Drosophila melanogaster: one gene and its partners. The protein of the gene in region 3 interacts with the protein of the main gene of each other region in a pairwise test. Each region holds a gene or a part of one and is shown on either strand. Other genes may lie near its edges.

The links.
Region 1: the proteins of B-H2 (region 3) and CrebB interact in a two-hybrid assay, tested with the Drosophila melanogaster proteins (one large-scale study listed by BioGRID).
Region 2: the proteins of B-H2 (region 3) and FoxP interact in a two-hybrid assay, tested with the Drosophila melanogaster proteins (one large-scale study listed by BioGRID).

The regions. Positions count from the first base shown.
Region 1 is NC_004354.4:18,369,134-18,376,993, forward strand, and holds CrebB (Cyclic-AMP response element binding protein B), read left to right. Parts: upstream 1-1,850; 5' UTR 1,851-2,049; exon of another isoform or gene 2,050-2,473; intron 2,474-2,897; 5' UTR 2,898-2,999; coding exon 3,000-3,299; intron 3,300-3,900; coding exon 3,901-4,080; intron 4,081-4,153; coding exon 4,154-4,322; coding exon of another isoform or gene 4,323-4,564; exon of another isoform or gene 4,565-4,963; intron 4,964-6,115; coding exon 6,116-6,253; intron 6,254-6,709; coding exon 6,710-6,918; 3' UTR 6,919-7,684; downstream 7,685-7,860. UniProt on the Drosophila melanogaster protein: Isoform E is a PKA-dependent transcriptional activator. Isoform J is a direct antagonist of activation by isoform E in cell culture.
Region 2 is NT_033777.3:9,725,510-9,732,666, reverse strand, and holds FoxP (forkhead box P), read left to right. Parts: upstream 1-1,794; 5' UTR 1,795-3,233; coding exon 3,234-3,772; intron 3,773-3,830; coding exon 3,831-4,008; intron 4,009-4,064; coding exon 4,065-4,242; intron 4,243-4,301; coding exon 4,302-4,346; intron 4,347-4,431; coding exon 4,432-4,508; intron 4,509-4,575; coding exon 4,576-4,677; coding exon of another isoform or gene 4,678-4,740; exon of another isoform or gene 4,741-5,049; coding exon of another isoform or gene 5,050-5,259; exon of another isoform or gene 5,260-5,516; intron 5,517-5,653; coding exon 5,654-6,097; 3' UTR 6,098-6,647; downstream 6,648-7,157. Other genes in the region: alphaTub85E (alpha-Tubulin at 85E), read left to right, coding at 1-388, 517-1,338; hyd (hyperplastic discs), read left to right, coding at 7,142-7,157.
Region 3 is NC_004354.4:17,312,870-17,317,581, forward strand, and holds the start of B-H2 (BarH2), read left to right. Parts: upstream 1-1,711; 5' UTR 1,712-2,000; coding exon 2,001-3,042; intron 3,043-4,712. UniProt on the Drosophila melanogaster protein: B-H1 and B-H2 are regulated by members of the wg signaling pathway; wg and dpp. B-H1 and B-H2 are coexpressed and functionally required in R1 and R6 receptor cells and primary pigment cells for normal eye development.

The DNA of each region.
Region 1 (7,860 bases), 1.1 Mb from region 3:
GCGATATTTATATGTTTATAGCTTCGCAAATGAAGGTGTTTTTATTGGTTTCTCAGTATATCGAAATTCTATTCTAACTTTTTATTGGGGAATTTTTTAAGTTTTTTTTAACCGTTTCTTGTTTAGATTTCTGATTTTATCTCAAGAGCAAGAAAAAGCGGTTTGCCAAATATTAATATTTAAGCAACTATTCACGCAAGATAAAGTTAATAGAAACGACATTCTTTATTACCTTAACTATAGTTAGGCAAATTGCCCTTTTTTTGCTTATTATTATTTTAAAATTAATAACTTGAAAAACTATTTTTATTGATGAAGCAATAATAACTTAAAATTAACAGCTTTGGTTATGGTGTTTATAGTTTGAATTAATATATGAAATTTTAAAGTTGGGTTTAAATTATTGTGATACATTTTGAATTGAATTGAATTGAATTGAATTGACCGTAGTACAAGCAAAACTTCAAATGGAAATCGATCTTAATTTCTTTCTGTGTAGGCGGTGTGTATTTTGGTATGCAAGTCCGTTTTAACAGCCAAAACACAAGCCGCATATTTCAGCCAATTTATGGTCGGGCTCTCAACGGCTATTGTGCTGACCGCAGGTGTACTCAGTACATATGTATGTACATATGTACATATGTATGTATATATGTATATAAGTGTATTAGAAGTGTAATATGGGAACCGCATTTGCAATTCCTTTCTGCGGCCACCGGGCAAACTTCATTAGCCAGTGATGTCAGCTGGCGCGCGGAGGTAATGCGGATTTGGACAGTGAGTCAGTCCACGAGGTCGGTGGTTCAGACAGTCCGGCATTTGGGGTCCACAAGGGGGAGGGGTGAGGTGGGTGCTGGGTGATGGGTGGTGGGTGGCGAAGGGGCTTGGAGGCGTTTGAGGGTTCGTGCGACGTCGTAATTAATGGCAATTATTATGTCACTCAAAGGGAAGTCGATTGAAAAAGCAGCCTAAATAATGCAAATGGAATTGGAAATTATAATTCACAGAGGGAAAGTAAACGGGGGCACAGTCATTGCACTAATTAACTATTTATTGAGAGCCCGTTGCAGGCTTCAAATAATCTCGAGTCTGTTTTTAAGGCTTTAAGGTTTTTACGCCTCAAACTTTCCGGCTAGTTTTCTCGCGATGACGTCATGGCCAGCTCATGTAGCCAATAGTTATTCGGCTGTAAAGTAATTAGCCGCGAACATCATTTAGGCTAATTGTTTTTTGCACTTATGTGAGCAGGCTGTTTTTAGTGGTAGCGAAATAAAAAAAAGAGCAACAATTTTTTTCTGTGACCAAAGTTTCTAGTTTTTAGGCGCGCTAAAATCTGCGGTTCTATAAACTATTATGAAAAAGTAATTATTTTGCGATTGCTAATTGTTAGTTTTTAGTGCTACTGAACACCTCTTTTTGTTGAATTAATAGAATAACAATACAATTAGTGATTCATTAAACGGCCAACAATGGACTTGGAATTAATTTCGGTTACAAATGGAAAATAGAGATATGAAGTTGAAATAATTTACATACTTGTAGATGAATAAATAAAACCGAGGAAAATTGATTTACAACCTTCATCTAAGTATTAAAAACTTAAAAAAAAAACCATAACAAAATGAAGTTTTAAAAGTTCCCGCAGTTATAGCCAAGCTCCGCACCACGAGCTTAGCCAAGGTTTCAACCGGTGTGGTAGTGTGGAGCCTTATTGTTGCTGTAGCTTGTTGCTCATTCCGCAGCCAGGGTCACACTTTATCGAGCAGTTTTCTGTGAAACAGCCGATGTGTGACATCGATATCAAGCAAAACATCGAAACACATCGCCCCAAAACATCGCTGTTGGATGCATCGATGTTATTTTACATCACTAGGCGAGCGAGCCAGCAATAAGCGAACGATTTTTGCGCAAAAACGGTCTTTATCAATAAATCGCTGCGCACGATCGCATTGCCGTGGAAAACGCGTACATTGTCGTTCGAAAGCCGCCAAGCCAGCGTCTTTGCCGCCAAAAGAAACGCGTTTCGGTGCTGCAAATAGAAAAAAGAACGTAAGCAACGATAACAACAGGCAGTGAGAGCGAGCGAGAACGGGAGAGAGAGAGAGCGAGAGAGTGTTGTGTGTGTGCGTGCTGCCAACTTGTCGCACCAATTCGCTGCTGTGCTTAAGTGTGCGTGTGTGTTCTGTGGGGTTCTCCCAAAAAGAGCAAACAAATACGAAACCTTTGCGCGATGCCATTCGAAACGTATCTGAAGTTTTAGGGTTCGAACTTCGATTCGCTTACTCTGCTGCTTTATACATAAATATTTATTTGGTTGGACACCGCGACTTTTCAACAAGTTGCCAGCGCAGCGTGCAACGCGCGTACACACACACACACGCGCCCAGGAAGGAGTGAGAGAGAGAGAGAGTGAGCAACGGCAACAACAACAAAAGCCTCTCAGCAGCAACGTTTTTAGTGATGTCATCAGAAAGTAAGTTGATTTTTTCGCTGTGTGCTGTGTGTTTTTCTGTTTTTTTTGTTGCCTCTTGGCACACACACAAACGCACACGCACACAAGCGCGCGCAACGTTGTCATGACGTCATTCAACCGAAATACTCACGACTCGGTGTTGTTGTTATTGTTGCTGTTGTTGTTGTTTTCCTTTGGGGGAACTTGAGTTCCATCAGTCAGCAATCGGCACCACAGCCACAATATAATCATCGTCATCACAACGCACACTCGTCATCGGCCCAAAACAAAAACGAGCCCATGCCAATCCCGCCCAGAAACAGAAATTGAAACTTAAACTGAAACGGATTCCGATCTGAATCGGTATCACAAACTGGATGACAAATTGATAAACCGTAAAACTGACAGCGTAATCCAAAAGCAATCCAATCCAATCCAATTGTAGAAACGTCTTCAAGCTGGCCAAATTGAAGCGGAAACGGTAGCCAAACTGAAGCACTTGTCGGAGAGCGTCTCGGTGCTGCTGAAGATCGCCAGGATCGGCAACATGGACAACAGCATCGTCGAGGAGAACGGCAACTCGTCGGCGGCATCGGGCTCCAATGACGTGGTCGATGTCGTTGCCCAACAGGCGGCGGCAGCGGTGGGCGGCGGCGGTGGAGGAGGAGGAGGCGGCGGCGGTGGTAACCCCCAGCAGCAGCAACAGAACCCACAAAGTACAACGGCCGGCGGTCCAACGGGTGCGACGAACAACGCCCAGGGAGGCGGAGTGTCCTCCGTGCTGACCACCACCGCCAACTGCAACATACAATACCCCATCCAGACGCTGGCGCAGCACGGACTGCAGGTGAGCATTTGGGGACCGGGTGCTTGGTGTCAACTGTCGAGTGTCAGGTGTTACGGATCCCAGCCAGAAGTGGCTACCAAGGATGTTAGTGCAGAAGCACTTCAAAGCCTCCTTTGGTATGGGAACTGAGTGTAGATAGGGATAGTTATTACCGGAAATAAGGCAGCTTAGTGTTCTTTAACTAATAGCAAACAAACAAGTACAATACTGTTTATTATAAAGTTTTATAAAGTTTACTGCATAGATTATGCATCCATCATTTTTCAATCATTTCAATACGTTTCTTATTCTACATCCCTAAAATCGATTTCGTTTACCAATGTATATATTAAATGGGGTATGACTATATGGACTACATAATACATATAATAAATCTTTATAGTTAAGCTTCACAAAAATTGATATAGACCATATAGCTGTTATTAGGATGTCGACTACACTTACACATTCACAGGACTTTTAATTTTATTCATTAGAATATCGAGAATTTGCGGTGTTTGTTAGTTACACTACAGCCTACAAAACTTACTATGTCAGTCCCGTTGAGGCCAATAACCCTGACCGCGAGCGTTTCTAATGTAGTGACCTTCTATATCCGCAGGTGCAGTCCGTGATACAGGCCAATCCCTCGGGAGTCATACAGACAGCAGCTGGAACCCAGCAGCAGCAACAGGCGCTGGCCGCCGCCACAGCGATGCAGAAGGTGGTCTACGTGGCCAAGCCGCCGAACTCGACGGTCATCCACACGACGCCTGGCAATGCAGTGCAAGTGCGTAACAAAGTGCGTAGAACGGGGAGCACGGAGCACCCGCCGAACCGAACTCTACTAATGAACTCGATCACCTCGCACACAGATCCCTCCAACCTTTCCGTGTAAGATCAAGCCCGAACCGAACACGCAGCACCCGGAGGACAGCGACGAGAGTCTGTCGGACGACGATTCCCAGCACCACCGCAGCGAGCTGACGCGACGGCCGTCGTACAATAAGATCTTCACCGAGATCAGCGGTCCGGACATGAGCGGTAAATCCGGGGGACGATCTCTCCACCAGTCACACACCCACTCGAACACATCTCTGTCGCTCTTTAAACCACCACATCGCCTAACAATCCAATGCATCGTCGAGCTGATCGCCACTCATCGTTCATTTCACGATGCACTTGCGCCTGGCAATCTTTCGACCATTCCCAGCAACTCTCATAACGCTGGGGAATCGGTCAGTCCATCAGACACCATTCCATTCTCAGTGTTTGTAACCCCATGATCGATCACCTTTCCCGTTCATCTTGTACAGTAGCTGTTGGCTAAGTAACACTGTTAACACTCGTTGTAGTGCGCTTTAGCAAATGATCCATATCGAAATGATTAGACGAGAGGAATGTACTGTAAAATTATACTCTTGCCACAAAAAGTGCATTTACAATTTTATCAGAAAAGTCTAAGGTCCAAGTTGCTCACTGGATCCTTATGAAATCTATATTGTAAATATACAAAAGGAAAACATTTGCAACATTCATTACGTTGCTATTGTTTATAAAGCAATATATGGTTCTCCTAGTGCAATAAGATTCTCTAGCCAAAACCTTGCCCAGCTAAAAAGTAACGAAAATGTGGACAGAATAAAAAAAAAGCATTAAATATACATTTCCGAAGCTTTCCATTTGAAACTATTATTTTCAACCAGAACAGAATAGAGGGTTGTTTATTTTCTTACATAGTTTCTTAAAAATATAATGAAACAGAGGAAAGAGGTAGAAACTAATGGAACCCAGTTAGCTAACATTGTGTTTTTGTTTGGATCTCAACTGTATTTGTACATACAACACATAGATTGTGAAGGACTGCCAGCCTTGTCCTTTGTACATCATTAGGAATGCCATTTAGGGCAGCCGTACAAGCGGGAACCCCGCCCCTTTCCACCACCCCCATTATCATTTAGTTGATGTTGTTGTTGGTGTTGCTTTAACGAAGTGAAAATAATGAAAGAAAAACAAAAGGCCGGAAAACTTGGCCCGAGAAGGAGCAGAAAAAGAGGACGCGTTGTAGAGATTCCACGATTTTCCAATTCTCCCCTGTAAATAAACCTCTCACTCGCACACACACACACTCGCGCACAACTTCACCAACTCACACACACACTCACACATATGTACATAGACAGGGAGGGAAGACAGCAAGAATAATGATTAATATTTACAATAATTTAAGCATTTGAACTATTGCTGCTGTCTTCTTGCCCACAATTCTCTATCTCTCTCTCTATCGCCCTCCCCTCTCTCTCTCTTTCGCCGCCTCTCTGTCGTTGTTGTTGCTGTAATCGCTGTTGTTGTTGTTGTTGCCGTTGTTACACACACAACCCATTATGCCAAATATTAAATAGTAATGAAGAAGTACAAGCAAACGTCTCACCTAACAGTACTTTAACCGTTAATCAAAAGCTTTTCTCCACTCTCTTTGACTAACCAATCTACCTATCTCGCTCGCTCGCTCGCCGTTCTCGCTCGCACACACCACTCAAGTTCATAAACCAACCAACAAAAAAAAACCAATCCGAATTTTCAAAAGCTTCCAATTGAAAACTGAAAAATGGAAAATATGTTTTCTTATAATTTTTTTATTGTTGTTTTTTTTTCATTGTTTTCTTTTCGAACGCCTTCCTCCACCCAACCCACAAAAATAAAAAAACGATATATAAAATTCGATAATGTTCTGAACAACAACTGCAACAACAACAACAACAAACGACAATCAAAACCCCAAACCGAACTCGAATCGGAATCGAACTCGAATCAAATCGAATCGAACCCCATCCCAGGCGCATCGCTTCCCATGTCCGACGGCGTGCTCAATTCCCAGCTGGCGGGGACCGGAGCGGGGGGCAATGCGGCGAACAGCTCCCTGATGCAATTGGATCCCACGTACTACCTGTCCAATCGGATGTCCTACAACACCAGTAATAGCCTCGCTCCAAAACTAGCCTTTAGTTGCGACTTGGCAGGACCACTCGTAAATCGAACTGGAATCGAGGGTCTATCAAATTGAAGTTATCGAGTTATCGAGCTGAATGTAGGCGATGAATCAGCGTCCATGGAACTGCTTCATCGCCTAACTGCAGCATATGGACTCAAATGATTGTAATTGATAACTTTGATAATGCTCCATTCCATGCTGGCATTATTTTCGTTTTTATTCAAATTGTTTAGTTGAACATGGATGGTGTGTTCAATCATTTTTGCATGCAATTTGTGTTGACATCGAAGTGAAACCAAATCCAAACCATCAATGACTATGAAATCCAGTTCAGTTCGAGTTACAGAGAGTTCCGCTTTGGGAGATGTGCACACACACATCGCTTACAGCCAGCTGAATGACTGATTATCCAATCCTTGAAAACTTTTTCCTTTTGCAGACAACAGCGGGATAGCGGAGGATCAGACCCGTAAGCGCGAGATCCGGCTGCAGAAGAACAGGGAGGCGGCGCGTGAGTGCCGGCGCAAGAAGAAGGAGTACATCAAGTGCCTGGAGAATCGAGTGGCGGTGCTAGAGAACCAAAACAAAGCGCTCATCGAGGAGCTGAAGTCGCTCAAGGAGCTCTACTGTCAGACCAAGAACGATTGAATGTGGGCGGGGCTCTGGCGCCGCCTGCGCCTCCGCCTCCAGTTACGGCTACGGTTACGGCTACGGCAACGGTTACGGTTACGGTTACGGCGATCACTGCGCTTCGCTCCGCTCTGTTCTATTCCGTTCTGTTCTGGACAACAATGGTGGATCGATCCTTGCCGCTGGCCGGTCGCATATCATGATTTCTATACGCATGGGATGCTGCATGTGGTAGCGTGTACATTAACTGTGGGGATCGTGTTGTTGTTGTTGTTGGGATGCAGACGGGCCGAACCGGACCAAACCTAATCGAACCGAACCGGATGGAAGGGACAGAGGGTCTATCTGCCGGACACACAATGTAATTATGTTTGTAATTTAAAGATGTAATATTATGTTTACGATTTAGTTTATGCCCTAGTTTACTCGCTAACTTAACGATACTGCAGTTTACCTACGAACATGTGTTTCCGTAACCTAAGACCTTTCACCACACCCCCCCGCATGCACACCTTACCTTACCTTACCTTACCTATTGTAATTAAATTTTTTGTTTTACCTAATTCGTAATCGATGCAGCAGAACGTGCGTGTCTAGCGAAAGTGTTTTTTCTTAGCGAATTGTTGTTGTGTGCCCATATGTCAGGATATAGTCAACCAGCAGGTTGCCCAATCCACCAGAGTCCTTTCTAGATGGGTTTTCTGGGCCTACCAAATTAAAATTGTTCAAAAGTCGCTAGTTTCACTTGATTTACATATGCGTGTGCGTGTAGTATGTATATATGCGTGTGTGCCGGCCAATGTGTATCTGTAGAATTAGTCTTAAATCGAATGGATGAATTGATTGTCTGGGATTTGGGCATGGAGTTAAATATTCAAACACTTTGTTACGTAATTTTAAACGAACCCTCTCCGCTCCCAAAGAACCTGGTTAAGCAGACAATTCTGCACGCTACCGTGA
Region 2 (7,157 bases), on a different chromosome or scaffold from region 3:
CTCCTTCAGCACCTTCTTCAGCGAGACTGGAGCTGGTAAGCATGTGCCGCGTGCCGTGTTCGTGGATCTGGAGCCCACTGTGGTGGATGAGGTGCGGACAGGAACCTACCGCCAGCTGTTCCATCCGGAGCAACTGATCACCGGTAAGGAGGATGCGGCCAACAACTATGCCCGCGGCCACTATACCATCGGTAAGGAGATCGTCGACGTGGTCCTGGACAGGATTCGCAAGTTGGCGGATCAGTGCACGGGTCTGCAGGGATTCCTGGTCTTCCACTCCTTCGGCGGCGGCACTGGCTCTGGATTTACGTCGCTGCTGATGGAGCGCCTGTCCGTGGACTATGGAAAGAAGTCAAAGCTGGAGTTCTCCATTTACCCAGCACCACAAGTATGTCATTTGCATATGGATATTATATCTATTGCTTGAGCATTTATAGAAGACCAATTAACATAATTAGTAAAAGACATGGGAAATTAGTCTTCGAAAGGCAATCTAATAATCGAACTTCCTGTTAGGTGTCCACAGCTGTGGTCGAGCCATACAACTCGATCTTAACCACCCACACAACGCTGGAGCACTCGGACTGTGCGTTTATGGTTGACAACGAGGCAATCTACGACATCTGCCGGCGCAACTTGGATATCGAGCGACCCACCTACATGAATCTCAATCGCCTAATTGGCCAGATCGTTTCCTCCATTACGGCCTCGTTGCGCTTCGATGGCGCCCTGAATGTGGATCTGACCGAGTTCCAGACCAATTTGGTGCCCTACCCACGCATTCATTTCCCACTGGCGACATACGCTCCCGTCATTTCCGTGGAGAAGGCCTACCATGAGCAACTGACCGTGGCCGAGATCACCAATGCCTGCTTCGAGCCGGCCAACCAGATGGTCAAGTGTGATCCGCGTCGTGGCAAGTACATGGCCTGCTGCATGCTCTACCGCGGTGATGTGGTGCCCAAGGATGTGAACGCAGCCATTGCCACCATCAAGACCAAGCGCTCTATCCAGTTCGTCGACTGGTGTCCCACGGGCTTCAAGGTGGGCATCAACTATCAGCCACCCACCGTTGTTCCTGGCGGAGATCTGGCCAAGGTGCAGCGCGCCGTCTGCATGCTGTCCAATACCACTGCCATTGCCGAGGCCTGGGCCCGTCTGGATCACAAGTTCGATCTGATGTACGCCAAGAGGGCCTTCGTCCACTGGTACGTGGGTGAGGGCATGGAGGAGGGCGAGTTCGCCGAGGCTCGCGAGGATCTCGCTGCCCTCGAGAAGGACTACGAGGAGGTAGGCATCGACTCCACCACCGAACTGGGGGAAGATGAGGAATACTAGAGAAAACGTTGTCAACAAATGATACAGCCATTACAACTTTATAAACATCACTTTCTTTCTACCAAATACCAATGCATAAAACAGTTTCGCAATAAAACAGTTTAACACAATTGCTTAAAATGGCTTATTTAAATGGGAAATATTCGTCTTTAGATGGAATTTAACTTTTGTGTTAATAAGAATAAAACTTTCTCATATAAGGAAATTGGTAAATCATATATTTATTGGAAATTACCCCTCCGTAAAAAACCCTACTTATCACTTTCTTATTGCTTTAAATATTAATATTAATTGGGCAAATTAATGTTGACTTTTAAAAGTTTTTAATTTTTGAAATCGTTACGTGTAATGGAGCCTTAGGATGCATTTTGAAACGCATGCGCAAAAATGTGTACACATATTTCTAGCAAATTCAGTAGTCGTAGACGTACCTTTTCAGGAGTAGCAGCGAAAAATATTCTTAAGATAGTTTTTAAGTTTAAATTAATTTTACATATATGTGAAAAGTTGTATTAAAAAATTCGCCCGTTATTAAATATAATATTGTTCTTTGGAAACCTCTGTGAATGTTATTTAATTGTAAATGTACATGCAAAATTGTATCCTCTTTTGTCTGCAAAATTGTATGTGCATGTATGTATTCGCAAAATTTAAGTCTAGTCTGTTAAGTTAATTAAGATATTGTTGAGTAGTCTAGGCAGACAACTTTATCTTAAAAGTCCCAGTTTAAACAGTTCTTATACAGAAATTGTATGATATGTATACATATGAAATATGAATATTTTATTTACCCATATATACCCCTTGGAATAATCAATGCCCCCAACGAATACAGACAATGCAAATCTACACAATACCAACAATATATTTATCTTTATTCGCCTTTACACAAAAAGCTTATGTATATCGAATATAATACTATTTTTTCAGGATCTTCGAATGTGATGAAAACCATACCTCTCTCTTCTCTTTTATATCTTTCTTCTTTTCCTATAAAACATTTAATACTTACATATTTCACCATTTACATTTATTCTTATTTTAGGTGGCTATATAATTTTTCATTACAGGAATTTGATTAAAACAATCGTAAGATGGTCCTATCTGCAAAACTCATATACTCTTCCATTTAAGTTCATCCTATAGCCAAAACGTCCGTCCGTTTTTATATCCGTTTGTCCGTCCGTTTGTATGTCCTTCCGTTTGTATGTCCGTTTGTCCGTCCGTTTGTCCGTCCGTTTGTCCGTCCGTTTGTCCGTCCGTTTGTCCGTCCGTTTGTCCGTCCGTTTGTATGTCCTTCCGTTTGTCCGACCGTTCCGTCTGTATGTTTCTTATGTTATGTATGTTGTATATGTTTCTTTTTAGCAAAATAAGATGTGTCTGGTTTCCTTGCCACCTATGCAATCCCCTTGTGAGATCTTAAACTTGTTATACGCCTAAATATGATAAATGCTTTCTATGAATAACCTTTATATTTACAGATTAACTGCACCGGATGACGTGGCATTTTATTTGTAACATATTTAAAATTAAATCAAACATTTAAAGAATGTTTAATTTAATTTACACTGAATTCATTTAGCACTGGGCCTTTAGTAGGGGTTAAATCTTATATGCGCCAAGTTGTTAAATATTCATAACTTTTGGGGAAAGTATCATCTCAATGATAGTGCGGGAAAATTAAGCTGAAATTAAATAGGGCGTAATAAATAGAAATCCTTAAACTATCACTCTGATTCGGAGTTTTACAGGAATGGCGGCATATGAGTAAAGATAGTTTTATTGAAATGACTCCTAATGACAGACGAAAAAGAGATTATTTCTGTGTATTTGCATATGCCCATCTCTTGGGTAAAGGATCAATGGTAATGATTATAAATTTCAGTTTTAAAAACATGCATCGGATACATGACGACGAGTATTCCGAGGATGCCAAGGAATCGGACTTTAAGAGTTCGATTCAGAAGGAGATATCAGTGAAGTCGAGACACCAAATTTCCATACCAGACATATGCTCAGATGCTGTTAAGAACAATTGTTTTCCGCCGACTGGCTTTCTCAATAACTCGATCACCTTTGCCTCACATGTAGTTAAGTGCAGCTCACCGGCCTCGAGCATCGATGAATCCTCAACGGCGGCCCAGCAGCACGAATCCAATCCACACATGCATATACAGGGTCAGCATATGATGGCTCCCGTTCCCGATCTGGGTTTCTACAATGTGCCCGAGTTCATATCCGAGCAGGAGAAGCTCATGTTCTCCGATGCAGAGAGATTCTTGCGGTCGAAGGATAATGAGGTGTGCAACAATGATTTCAGCTATATGCACGATGAGTTCGCCATGCGGAAGTACTATCATCCGTTATTTGCTCATGGCATATGCCGTTGGCCTGGTTGCGAAATGGATTTGGAAGACATCACATCGTTTGTCAAGTAGGTGGAGTACAATTAGAGGTATGAAATAATTATATAGGGTATGTTATCTAACTAGGCATCTGAATACGGAACATGGTTTGGACGATCGATCAACAGCACAGGCACGGGTTCAAATGCAAGTTGTCTCCCAGCTGGAATCCCACCTGCAAAAAGAACGAGATCGCTTGCAGGCAATGATGCATCACTTGTATTTGTCCAAGCAGCTTTTGTCTCCCACCAAAATCGACAGGAAGGTAAGTCCCTTTTTATGTGAGTAAGTATTGGTATAATGAAAAGTTATAAATATAAGGACGTGCCCGGAAGAGAGGGAAAGTTTTGCCGGAGTCCGCTTACCGTAAATAGCATAGGCCGACCCATCCGACAAACAAATTCACCGAGTCCTCTGAATCTTCCAATGGTTAATTCCACCAACTTGTGCTCGATCAAAAAGAGAAACCACGACAAAAATACATTTTCCATAAATGGGGGTAAGTTTGGGAAAAATTTACTATTACTGTATAAAAATAATAATGGTTTTTGGATATAGGATTACCCTATATGCTTGAAAGAGCAGGTCTTGATGTGCAACAGGGTAAGTAAATTATGTAGACTGATCGTCTTGATGACTATTCGTCTTGTGCTTCTGGAAGACATATAATAAGAATTTAAATTTGCAGAAATCCATCGAAACAGAGAGTTTTATAAGAATGCTGATGTACGACCGCCTTTTACTTATGCTTCCCTCATAAGACAGGTAATTTTAAAAACCAATTTCCTAATATAACATTAATTTATTTTTTTTATATATATTTTATTTATAGGCTATAATTGACTCCCCTGACAAGCAGTTAACCCTAAACGAAATCTACAACTGGTTCCAAAACACATTTTGCTACTTCCGGCGCAACGCAGCTACGTGGAAGGTAAAATGCCCCATATATGTAAATCTTCTTTCCTCCATATTATCTATATATTATGCAACATAACTTTAATTTGAGTATTTATGCTATATGATATGATATCTATGATCTGATATGACCATTTGTCCGTCCGTATAACTCTCGTTTGTCCGATTGGCGTTCCTAGCTTGTCCGCTGTATATATACTATATACTACCTTTTCCACATTGTCCACTACTTTGCCAATATTTAAGAGTATAATAGAGCTAAATACAAGTGATATATAACAAGGTAAGCTACACAGGTCAGATCCTGTTTTATTCCATTTCCTTTTTATATGTCTTAAAATAATCAAATTAAGTTTGGCCTATGCTAACTGATAATATATATCATTAGAACGCAGTCCGGCACAATCTGTCCCTTCATAAGTGCTTTATGCGGGTTGAGAATGTGAAAGGAGCAGTTTGGACTGTCGATGAGATTGAGTTTTACAAAAGACGACCGCAGCGCACTGCTGGCATTGGTAACAATCTAACCGGTGCTACCAATTCGCCGGACACTAACTATTTTGTAGCCATGAACATTGGGTATGTGGGTCTCAAATAGTTTAATTCTACTCACTTTGCTCCAAACTCCTTCCGTTTTGCTCTGTTAGTAAATATACATATGCCATTGCATGCATGCTCCTATATCGAAATGATATAATATGACATTATACGATCTTTTTACAGCGCAAATTGTAAACAGTGATTCTAATCTCTTAGTGGTAGAAACCCAAAATGATGTCCGTCTGCTCATCGATCTGTCTGTCTGTCTGTCTGGAATTTAGCTGATGAAGATTATCCAGGATTTCGCGTGTTATGAAAAATGAAAATAAGAAGACCGAAGACAAATGAACTAACCTTAATATCTCAATGAACTTTTTCTTCCTTTCACGATAATGCAATTTCCTGTTTCTGACTCTTGATGGGGCTCTTGTTTTGTCCAACCAATCATAAAGAATGCGATTCGTACGAACCTTTCCTTACACAAGTGCTTTGTACGTTATGAAGATGACTTTGGCTCGTTTTGGATGGTCGACGATAATGAGTTTGTCAAAAGGCGGCACTTGTCGAGAGGGAGACCCCGGAAATATGAACCGTCCTCCTCCCCAAATTCATGCCAATCCGGCAATGGTGTGCCCACTGATAAGAATCCCTGCGACAATTGTACGCAACATTGCACTAGTTTGCCACCGGGTGCTGATAATCCTCTAGATTCCAATAATCCAAATGATTTAGGCAGAATTGGTTGTCTTCCCTATTGCGGTAGTGATGGTTTAAGTAAAGCGTCCAAGGACTATAGCAATATGGACTCGGGTATGATCGAAAGTAACAGCCACTTGACAATCGATGAATATTCTACTAATATGTACGAGAGTAGTGCCAATGAGCACAATCGATAAATAATATATCATTAACTATACATATATTTAGATGCATTGTCGAGTAATCTGCGTTTGGTAAGAAGGTTCGGATTCGGAAATTATATCTGTACATACACATGGTTCTATGTATAATTTCCCAAATAGAAATGAAAAAATACTTTTAAAATAAATTTCACTAATGCTATAAAATAAACGAAAGAACTACGTTAAATTATTAAAGCAAAATTAATGTGTTTAAACTTGCTTTAATAACTCCACTTATAACACGATTTTAATATACGAGTACAACATATATGAATATTTTCACTTTTCAGCAAGGGAGAAAACATTTAAAAGCTATAGCTTGATAAAATTTTAACAAAACTGTTTTAAAAGTCACAATATGATTTTTTTTTAAGGAAACTATTTTCAGGTATACCTTCTGTTAAAAATCTGGACCCTTGAGAGCTTTAGATTTGGAAACTCCTTAGTAAACGTATATGCTTTTCTGCTGACTTATCTAATTTCCTTCTAATTTAAGATCATTAACGATACTCAGTGACCTAAATAAATTCCTCAAATATACAACAAAGTGAACAAACTGAATTTTATTTCTAGTTCCTAAGCAAACGGTTTACGCGACGTAAAAGCGGTTAAATCGGCTTCTCAAAAGTTTGTCAATCAAAGTTTTCTACCAATTCATTATTTTAAAGCGGTCTTTAGTATATTTTAGTATATTCTATTGGAGATTTTTTGGACTGCCACTATTTAAGGAAAAACAACCGATAAGAATGGACGCATTCGTGAACTTCTGTATCTTAAATTTAATAAAATATATACAGCCTAAGTACACATATTGTAGTCAATGTCAATTTAATTTGAAAGTAAAGTTTTTGTTTACCAATAAATTTGTTTGGAGAATGTATCGATACCGTCGAATTTTCCGGCAACCATCGATACAGTCGGGCGGCATCGGTTTTCGTCCCAGCTCTAGCCAGTACGGTCACTCTGAAAGTCTCTCAACGTTTTGTGACATGAAAATTCAACGAGGACACTGTGTACATGAATAGTTGAAAAATTAAAATGGTTTCCATGCAAT
Region 3 (4,712 bases):
TATATTACAGGAAAATCAATCTCATGGTTTATTCAGAGGCAATACAAACTGTACCCAATGATCCCGGTCACGTCTTCGTTTTCCTGCTCCAGCCCGATCGTTTGTCAGGTCGTAAATGCTTGGGATATATCTATGATTACGATACTCTATTCCTGGAAACGTTTGGCGACAGGAACTCGGATACATACCAATGGCCAGTAATACCCGACAATTGCTGCCGTGAGGCCATTTTGAAAAGCTAACTATACAATAAACATGTGGCAGCGGGAGCATCCGCCTCCAGGCGCCAAAGACTGCCTCCTCGAGTAGCTCCTGCCCACCGGAGCACGCTTGTTAGTCCACAGGAATGAGGTGGTAGGAACCCCCAGTGGTATACAGCCCCCTCTTGGATAGCCACCCCCCCCCTGAGACCCATTCACTTGCACATTAGGCAGCAAATTGACATCGATACAAGAAGTAAACCAGAAGTGAGTGGAAAGAGAGGGCACTATCGCGTGCGACAGAGAGGAAAGCGTGCAGCATTTAACTGCTGCCAATTTACTGTTTAAATGCCAAACAAAAAGTGTTAACAAGCGCAAAAATAACAAAAGACACCAACAACAAAGTACGCAGAGCGAGAGGGCCCGAGGCGAGCCACAGGCGGCCAGCCCTTGGGCCAAAGCGAGACAGACAGATGTCGTGCCGGCTGCCTCTCGCTCGCACAAACCAGTTTAAGGGGGCGTGGCCTGGCCACAAAACAGGGTTGACAGCATCCCATCCATCCATCTTGCCATCCGGATATCTGTCCATCAGATACAACAGCAAAAGCAACATTAGAAGCAAAAGCAAAGGCGGCAGCTGCCCTGCTGCCATAATCGTGTTGAGTTTCAAGCTGCCATAAAAAGTTTATGGGAAGTCGTATTGAACAGGGAAACCTTCTAAAACAGTATGATTTTGCTACTGCTGGAGGCATATTGCATAAATGTTCTGTCATTCCTGTACAAACTATATTTAGTTGGAAAGTTAGATAACAAGTTATTAGTATATTAAAGATGCATGGCTACATATTTTTTAATAATACTCGCTATTATAATAAAAGTTTACCATTAACACTGTTCAAATTTTGTTTGAAAGCAGCTAAAATAATATGAAATAACCAACTGACCCCTAAGACTATATTTAACCCTCAAAGATAACGAACACGTTTTTGTTCAGATTTATAGAAATCAAATAAGTACAAATAACTTTTTATATAAATTGACAAGACTTAATAAACCCTATTTATTTAAGGATATGAAGTTAATTGCAATACTTTTTGTGCGGTTGTAGTTCGAAACAGCCAACTCCACCACGTGCCATAAAAATAACCGTTAGACGTGCGGCCATTGCCGGCGGAAAGTCACCACACCCGCCAACTTGAGTCCCGCTGATTGAAGCCTAATGAATGTCAATTGCTGCCAATTACGACCAATAAGTGCGGGCAATAAATGTGGGCAGCCGTGGGTGCGAGCGAGAGGCAGTCGCGGGGCGACAGAGAGGGAAACTCACCACACCGCCACTTGGCCAGGTCAATGAGCGAAAAAGAGACGACGACAGGTGGCAGCTGATGGGAAGCGGTGGCTCAACTGGTTTTTGCTGCCTTCTTGTTGTTGCTGCTGTTGCCGCTGCTGCTGTTGTTGCTGCTGCTGCTGCCAGTTGCTGTTGCTGGCAGCAAGTTTCAGTTTCGGTCGAAAGCCAAAGGCGAGCGGTTGTTGCTCCGCTATTGAACATCACAAAGTGTGCGCACCTCAGCGACATTTGCGTTAAAAACCCAGTTGGGCCAAGAAAACATTAACCAACGCAAGAGCAATCGAAAGCGGAGTTCAAGAACTTGTCAAGTTTAAGAAATAAGTGCGAGCAGCTACCAACAATTAACTGAAGAAGTGCTAAAAACTCGCGTCACCCATACATACATACATAGCTGTTTGTTTTTTTTCGGTGCAAAGTGCAGGTGCAGCAGCGGAGTCGTCGGCTAACCACACATGACCACAATGCCACCGGAAATGTCCGCAACAACGGCAGCTCCCGTTGGCAGTGCACCGAGTGCCACCGCTCATCATCCCGCTGCCGTCGGCGGCGGTATGCCGCGTCCAGCTTCCCCGGCCGTCGGCAGCAACACGACGACAGCCACGGCCACAACGGCGACGCGATCCCGCTTTATGATCACCGATATTTTGGCAGGAGCCGCGGCCGCATCGGCGGCGGCAGCAGCAGCGGCGGCCGCCTTGGCAGCCGCCTCTTCCGGCGGTGGGCGTGGCAGTCCGACGGACTCGGAGCGGGAGCAATCGCTGGTCGCCCAGCATCACCACCATCACCAGCAGCAGCAACAACACCATCATCACCAGCAGCAGCAGCAGCAGCAGCAACATCAGCAGGCTGCCCTGCAACAGTACATCGTGCAACAGCAGCAGTTGCTGCGCTTTGAACGGGAAAGGGAGAGGGAGCGGGAGCGGGAACACTATAGGGAGAGACATTCGCCGCCTGGCAACAATCCCTATGCCCACCACCCCATGCCGCCCCATCTGCTCGCCCACTTTCCGCCCGCCCACTACGCCGTGCTGCAGCAGCAGCAACAGCAACAGCAGCAACAGCAACATCCCCACCCGCATCATCTGCAGCTTGAGAGGGAACGATTGGAGGCACTGCATCGGCATGGCCACGGGCTGACCGGTGATCCTGCCCAGCACTTGAGCCACTTAAGCCACCTGAGCCACCAGCAGCACCATCCGCATCTGCATCATCCCATGCACGATGAGCGATCCCGGTCACCGCTGATGCTGCAACAATTGGGCGGTAACGGTGGCAATAACAACAACAATAACAACAACAGCAGCAGTGCCAGTAACAACAACAACAACAACAACAACAGTGCTAGTGCCAACAGCAACATCATCAGCGGCAACAGCAGCAGCAGCAACAACAACAATGGCAGTGGCAACGGCAACATGTTGCTCGGAGGACCCGGCAGCAGCATTAGCGGCGATCAAGCCAGCACAATCGACGACAGCGACAGCGATGATTGCGGTAAGTCGCTGATCATATATCATAAACATACAATGAATCTGTATAGCAATATGGTTTAAGCTGTATTTCAAGGATAAGGCTACATCGGGAATATATAAAGTATATATATATATATATAGCAGAAATAATTAAGTTGCTAACTAAAGGAAGAGACTAGTTCATGAGACAGACATACAGATTCAGATGGATCTTGAAGAATAGCACCAAGTGCGGAATATATGTATATGTATATAGACACTTTATTGCAATATCAAGTAATATGAGAAGAGCAAAGCGGGGATACATATAGAGAATATATATATATATATATATAGCAATATGATATTTGTGATATTTCAGGGACTGGACTGGATGGGAAAGTGAAATCTAATGAACAACTGATATTCAAAATAGCAAGAAAAAAGAAAGACAAGATATAATGCGAGATATAAATGTTTCAAAATACCAATCAAGGCTTTTTTATACGTGTTCCTGACGTACAAATTAAAAGCAATCAAAATCTAGCTAATATATATGTATTTAAGCTCTAGTAAATTTGCATAGAATATTAAAGGAAATAAAGGAAGCTAGTAATTATAGTATACAAATTGCCATTAAAACCAGTTCTATTTATAAACTTTACCAAAGTTCAGCTGTATTAGCTATTTTATTAAACGAAAAGGGCTTTTATGGCTATAGAGAATAGAAATTATTTCATAGTATGCACACCAATAAATGTTAGCTGATAAATTTGATTCGGTTGGTATTAATTTGAAACCCAAACGGTGGACTTTTGTTTATACACTGAAGGGGATCTCGAAACCAATTTACACCTATCCATCTGACCCCTGAGTTCGCACCACTTTAAATTTACGATTTTCCCCGCGACCGGGATATATCATATATTGAGTGCTAAGCGTGGTTGTTTTTCCTGTTGTCTTTGTCGTTTTTGTTGTGGCTGTTGGCTAATAGATAACGGCCAACAACAACCGCACCAACAACCACCGTAAATTGTGCGGCTCGAACGGGGAAAATGCTGGCTTGATAGGCGAAGACTCGAAAAATACAGGTGAGTTCGAGTCTGAGGCAGGTGTCTTAGGTTTTGTCTCTCACTCTCTCTTTCTTCCTCTACCTGTATATGTCTCTCTTTCTGTTTTTTCCTTTTCAATCCCCCCCCCCCCCCCTCAACTTATTGGCCAGATTAGCCAAGTGTTCGCTTATTTTCAACATATTTCCCAGTCAAAACTGTCAACAGAATACCCTTGACTGCCACGCCCCCCGCGTGCCGTCAACCTTGTTTTGCATGCAACAATCTAATTGATTTTGTTGCCTAGCTTTAGTTTTGCTTTTTTCCTCTCGTTAAGTGCTTTTAAACGATATGCAAATTATAACAAATTACTATTAAATAGCCGTAATCGTGCGTTTGCAATTGATTTGCAGTAATATAATTTAGAAAGGCCGAGAACGTGCACAAATATATATGTATGTATTTGAAAGAGCATGGAAATCAGAACAAAAGGTCAGAATGTTGAGTTTGCTACAAAAGATGTGTGTGTGTTTTTATTATAGATTTTTTACGAAATCCCAAAGGATGATAAAAATGAGTTTCCACTATTTTTGGATAACTAAAATGCCGAGTAATTTTAGTTATTTTAATAATTGCCCGGTCTCAATTCAGTTTTTTTTTTGTT